Xenopus tropicalis: one gene and its partner. The protein of the gene in region 2 binds, or shares a complex with, the protein of the main gene of each other region. Links are inferred from orthologs where the notes say so. Each region holds a gene or a part of one and is shown on either strand. Other genes may lie near its edges.

Region 1 (2,895 bases), on a different chromosome or scaffold from region 2:
ATTGTTATTGCTTACATTATGGTGTTTATTTACAGGCAAGAGAGGAAGACAGAAATCAAGATGGTAAAATGGATTTATTGAACTTCCAGCTGGAGCTTCCTCTGCAACCCACTGATAATATTTATGGTGTGCAGCTCATTCTGACATTCTCCTACCAGCTCAGTGTGAGTACAGAAGAGTATATGCACAGTGGTGCTTGAAAGTTTGTGAACCCTTTAACATTTGCTATATTTTTATATGAATGTAACCTAAAACATCATCTGATTTTCAAGCAGATGAAGAAAACCTAGTTAAACAAATGAAACAAAAATTATTATAGTTGGGCATGTCATGTATTATCCAATAATATCTGTATGTGGCAAAAGTAAGTGAATCCTTAGGAGTATCATATAATTTGAAGGTGAAGCAGAGTCTGGTGTTTTCAGTCAATGGGATGACAATCAGGTGTGAGTGACAGACCCTGTTTTTAAAAAACGGGGATCCAGCAAAGCCTGATCACACTTACAACACATTTGTGGTGGTTGTACCCAGAAATGATTGACTATCAAAGATATTTTCAACTGCAAGGTGTTTAATAGCCCGAGAGGTTACAAAGGAACCCAGAGTAACTTCTAAGGAACTAAAGGCCTGTCTCACATTGGCGAATGTTGATGTTCATGAGTCCACCATCAGGAGAACACTGAACAGCAATGGTGTGTATGGCAGGTAGCAAGGGAAAGCCACTGCTCTCCCCCAAAAATATTGCTGACCCTCTACAGTTAAAAATCATGTGGACAAACTAGGAGGATACTGGAAGAATGTTTTGTGGACAGATGAAGGCAAAGTAATACTTTTAGGCTGAAATATATGTTGATATCTGGACAAATAGTGGATTCGTATATGCTCTTTAACAAGAAAGATTACAGTGGTCCGAAATTAAAATTTCACCTATCAGACATAGTTACATAAAGGGGAAGGAAAGGCTAAGTCACTTGGGGGGGATAAAATGTTAAGCACCCCCAAGTGACTTGAATCGCTTACCTCGTACCCCGGGCTGGTGCCCCTATTAGGAGAAAACCGCACCAGCCCAGGGCACCTGGGGCGATGCACTTCCTCCTTCCACCTTCGTTTCGCTGCGACTCCGAGTCCGGCGCATGCGCAGTAGAGTGAAAAAGCCGGCGTCTCTGTTAAAGTTCGGCTTTTCACTCTACTGCGCACGCACGCGCGCGCAGCGAAGGAGGAAGCGATCGCTGCTACCCCGGGCTGGTGCTGTTCTCTCCATACAGGGGCACCAGCCCGGGGTAGAAGGTAAGCGATTCAAGTCACTTGGGGTGCCTAACATTTTGGCACCCCCAAGTGACTTTTCCTTCTCCTTTAAGTCAGCACACACTGGGTTCTGGAAATGGGGTGGGATGAGATTATGTTACTATACTCTAATGTTCATGTACTGTTCATTTCTGCAGTGATGTAACAGTAGGGAAGAAAAACCCATAGCTGCAGGACAAAAGGGGCTAACTAATGATCAATAATCACCTTGAGCTCCCATTGTCAGGTGTATATGGATAGAATAGTGGTAGAAATCAGGAGTTTTGCACATGGTGAAGGGGTAACCAAAATATTGTTATCTGGTCATGGGTCCCAGGTCCGCTGCAGTATTTCAGAAATTGTGTTTCTTTTTCAGAAGATGTCAACATTTATCATGCAGAGCATGGCCTTAATCCAGTACTCCTCTCCAATTCCTGGATCTCAGCTTTATATGAATGGGGATTTGAAACTACAACAAAGGCAGCCTCTGAATCACAGGGGTTTGGACACAACATACAACGTAAGCTTTGTGTTTCCCTAACATTTGTTATATGCATATTGTCTTGTAACAATATAGGGCTCATATACTGTAGATCAGATACAAGTGCTACTTTAATAAAGGGTCCAAAATTGCACCCCTTGGAAAGCCATTTAGTTAGCACTTGAACCAGTTCCGTACACAGTGCAGAGTATACCCTTAAGCTGTCAGTACAGGGCTGCTGATGCATATTGCATATATGATGCATATAAACAGACATGCCTTTTTACACCTCACAAAAGACACAAAAGTTAGGGGTGCTCTTATGGACAGCAATGGGCTGCATATGTGCCATTCTTTGCAATACTCTGTCAGGTGCAGGGGTGCAAAAATGTGGACGTGACAGAACTAGGTAAAGAAAGCAGCAGCAAGGTGAATTGTGGGCAAATAAAACTGTGCACTCTGTAATTAGTAAATGAGTCCTCGTAACTTATAGCAGCGAACAAACAAATAAATTGGTCATCTTCTGTATAACAACATAGGTAGAAATATTAAATTCATAGCACTAACATAAACTGATGTTTCCAATTATATGGCAGGTGTCTGTGATAAACCGAAGCAGCCCTTTTGCAAGTACCTATGCACTCACAAACATAATATCGTCTTACCAGGAAAGAAACGGTAATGTGGAAAAAGTTGAGCAAGACAAACAGTAATTCTTGTCTTTATAATATGGATGGACTGCGATCAACCACTTAAGGAGTTTGTATGTTCTTGATAAGATGGCCATAGTGTTTGTTTATGTGATAGGGACATTAGAATGTAGTATCGCCAGCTGAAGTTTGCCTGTGTATGGCCAGTTTAACAGGAGTGTCTGTGCTGCACACAAAAGACACTCCTTGTCATATTATACATGGAGCTGGTACAGGTATGGGATCTGTTAGCTGGTAACCGTTTACCCAAAAGGCTCAGAAATATTTTGACTTTTTGTAACGTATTTACTTTTTCTCTCTAAAATTATGACAGTTGCTAGTAATTGATGTTAAATAAGCTAGCATAAATGTCTCTCTCATTCCTTTCTTAAAGCATGGTGCTTAATTTTATTAAAAGACCTTTTATCTAGATAATCTCAG
Region 2 (3,759 bases):
TCCCACAGCCACAGTCCCTTCCCAGAGGCTATTATCCCCCCACTGCTACTATAGGCACCATCTCTCCCTACTATACCTGCTATCCCACAGCCCCAGTCCCTTCCCAGAGGCTATTATCCCCCCACTGCTGCTATAGGCACCATCTCTCCCTACTATACCTGTTATTCCACAGCCACAGTCCCTTCCCAGAGGCTATTATCCTCCCACTGCTACTATAGGCACCATCTCTCCCTACTATACCTGCTATTCCAGTCTCAATCCCTTCCCAGAGGCTATTATCCCCCCACTGCTACTATAGGCACCATCTCTCCCTACTATACCTGCTATCCCACAGCCCCAGTCCCTTCCCAGAGGCTATTATCCCCCCACTGCTACTATAGGCACCATCTCTCCCTACTATACCTGCTATCCCACAGCCCCAGTCCCTTCCCAGAGGCTATTATCCCCCCACTGCTACTATAGGCACCATCTCTCCCTACTATACCTGCTATCCCACAGCCACAGTCCCTTCCCAGAGGCTATTATCCCCCCACTGCTACTATAGGCACCATCTCTCCCTACTATACCTGCTATCCCACAGCCACAGTCCCTTCCCAGAGGCTATTATCCCCCCACTGCTACTATAGGCACCATCTCTCCCTACTATACCTGCTATCCCACAGCCACAGTCCCTTCCCAGAGGCTATTATCCCCCCACTGCTACTATAGGCACCATCTCTCCCTACTATACCTGCTATCCCACAGCCACAGTCCCTTCCCAGAGGCTATTATCCCACTGCTACTATAGGCACCATCTCTCCCTACAATACTTATAAATAAAGACGTGAATTTCAATGTTTTGCTTTCCCCCCATTATAATGAAGTGAAATGATATTTTCTGTGGCAGTTTAACAGGTTGTAGCAGTTTCCATGCCCCACTGTGATACCTTCACTAAAAGGAAATCTCGCATCATTAAAGAGCAGGCACCTGTGCTGTAAAAAAAAACCAATAATGTATAATGAGCAATTTATTGATTTAATGTGTTAATTAAAAGTCAGCGCATTGGTTGTCGGATTTTGTCCCTTCCCTTATAAAAGAAAGCTGTGTAAGGGGGAAAAGATGCAAGCACCTGAGCTCCCCACTCCTTTGCCAAGTCTCCAGCTCTCCGATGTCCCCCTTGATGGCGGCCCTGCACAGCGACACAGTCCTCACGGCGCTACCAAATAGCCAATCACAGTCATTATTTGGCCTCCCCAAAGAACTTCTTTTAATGTTTCTGTGGCTCACAGGTAAAACAAAAAGTTGGGGATCCCTGGTCTAACCCCTTTGGTTATGACTGAATACAGTAAGGGCGATCCATACCCAATAAGAACATGCTTGGTTATAATGAAATAAACCTCATTTGTGTGCACGTTTTATCTCGATCACTGGTTATATTATAAACAAATCTTTGGTTTATCTGCACAGAAGTCTCTACCACTAAACATTTCAGCACATACTAATGCCAGCCTTAGCAGCTGGAACTGAGTCTGTAGGTACAGAGACTCCATGGCAACGTTACAGCAAACACCCAGCAGTAGTACGCCCCTCCCACCGAACTATCCCAGTGCGCGGTGCATGCTGGGAGTGCGATCCCCCGGCCAATGGCGGCGCTCACCGACGCTTAAGTCGTTCTCTTTCTGAACCTGTACATTTCTGTATTGAATGAACTATAGACTTAACCGCAGCTACCGAAGAGGGGACAATTGTTCGGGTTCCAAGCTTGGAGCTGTCGCCACTAAGCTGCGATGAGACACTCTGAGGAGAAGCAGAGGATGGTGACACAGGTCTGTGCTGCTGATACACTAACTCAGTGTTGCCGTGTGTGTATGTTGTGCAGTTTGTGCTACAGTTACATTGAATAAGCGAATGGAATTTGTTGCTTACGCTACTGCTATGTCTATGGAGTTCCTGTGGTTGCTATAGGCGCCTCTGTGCGGTTGCTAAGGCCAAAGCGGAAGTTGCTGCGTTGCATTGCTTCACTTTCACTTTAGCGCTCCATGTTGTTTAACTAAAACTCTCAGCCCTCCCAAAGGTGCAACTGGGGGTTGTAGTACAGGTATAGGACCTGTTATCCAGAATGCTCGGGACCAAGGGTATTCCGGATAAGGGGTCTTCCTGTAATTTGGATCTCCATACCTTAAGTCTGCTAAAAAATCAATAAAACATTAATTTTAACACCCAATAGGTCTGTTTTGCATCCAATAAGCATTAATTATATCTTTGTTAGGATCAAGTACAGGTACTGTTTTATTATTACAGAGAAAAGGGAATCATTTAACCATTAAATAAACCCAATAGGGCTGTTCTGCCCCCAATAAGGGGTAATTATATCTTAGTTGGGATCAAGTACAGGTACTGTTTTATTATTATAGAGAAAAGGGAATCATTTAACCATGAAATAAACCCAATAGGGCTGTTCTGCCCCCAATAAGGGGTAATTATATCTTAGTTGGGATCAAGTACAGGTACTGTTTTATTATTACAGAGAAAAGGGAATCATTTAACCATTAAATAAACCCAATAGGGCTGTTCTGCCCCAATAAGGGGTAATTATATCTTAGTTGGGATCAAGTACAGGTACTGTTTTATTATTACAGAGAAAAGGGAATCATTTAACCATTAAATAAACCCAATAGGGCTGTTCTGCCCCAATAAGGGGTAATTATATCTTAGTTGGGATCAAGTACAGGTACTGTTTTATTATTACAGAGAAAAGGGAATCATTTAACCATTAAATAAACCCAATAGGGCTGTTCTGCCCCCAATAAGGGGTAATTATATCTTAGTTGGGATCAAGTACAGGTACTGTTTTATTATTACAGAGAAAAGGGAATCATTTAACCATGAAATAAACCCAATAGGGCTGTTCTGCCCCCAATAAGGGGTAATTATATCTTAGTTGGGATCAAGTACAGGTACTGTTTTATTATTACAGAGAAAAGGGAATCATTTAACCATGAAATAAACCCAATAGGGCTGTTCTGCCCCCAATAAGGGGTAATTATATCTTAGTTGGGATTAAGTACAGGTACTGTTTTATTATTACAGAGAAAAGGGAATCATTTAACCATTTAATAAACCCAATAGGGCTGTTCTGCCCCCAATAAGGGGTAATTATATCTTAGTTGGGATCAAGTACAGGTACTGTTTTATTATTACAGAGAAAAAGGAAATCATTTAACCACTAAATAAACCCAATAGGACTGTTCTGCCCCCAATAAGGGGTAATTATATCTTAATTGGGATCAAGTACAGGTACTGTTTTATTATTACAGAGAAAAGGGAATCATTTAACCACTAAATAAACCCAATAGGGCTGTTCTGCCCCCAATAAGGGGTAATTATATCTTAGTTGGGATCAAGTACAGGTACTGTTTTATTATTAGGGCTCTGGTACACGGGGAGATTAGTCGCCCGCGGCAAAACTCCCTGCTCGCGGGCGACTAATCTCCCCGAGTTGCCTTCCCTCTGCCATCCCACTGGCGAACATGTAAGTCGCCGGCGGGATGGCAGACGCGGCGGGGCGATTTGCGCGAAATCGCGCTGCCGCGTCTGCCATCCCGCCGGCGACTTACATGTTCGCCGGTGGGATGGCAGAGGGAAGGCAACTCGGGGAGATTAGTCGCCCGCGAGCAGGGAGTTTTGCCGCGGGCGACTAATCTCCCCGTGTACCAGAGCCCTTACAGAGAAAAGGGAATCATTTAACCACTAAATAAACCCAATAGGACTGTTCTGCC

Evidence for each region. The genes of interacting proteins can lie anywhere in the genome.
Region 1: cc2d2a (region 2) and tmem231 share a complex: the UniProt entries of both Homo sapiens proteins name them as parts of the tectonic-like complex. The link is inferred for Xenopus tropicalis from reciprocal best matches to the Homo sapiens genes CC2D2A and TMEM231.

The regions. Positions count from the first base shown.
Region 1 is NC_030680.2:64,236,793-64,239,687, reverse strand, and holds part of tmem231 (transmembrane protein 231), read left to right. Parts: intron 1-35; coding exon 36-164; intron 165-1,660; coding exon of another isoform or gene 1,661-1,663; coding exon 1,664-1,804; intron 1,805-2,361; coding exon 2,362-2,443; intron 2,444-2,895. UniProt on the Homo sapiens protein: Transmembrane component of the tectonic-like complex, a complex localized at the transition zone of primary cilia and acting as a barrier that prevents diffusion of transmembrane proteins between the cilia and plasma membranes.
Region 2 is NC_030677.2:27,856,313-27,860,071, forward strand, and holds the start of cc2d2a (coiled-coil and C2 domain-containing protein 2A), read left to right. Parts: upstream 1-1,570; 5' UTR 1,571-1,767; coding exon 1,768-1,806; intron 1,807-3,759. UniProt on the Homo sapiens protein: Component of the tectonic-like complex, a complex localized at the transition zone of primary cilia and acting as a barrier that prevents diffusion of transmembrane proteins between the cilia and plasma membranes.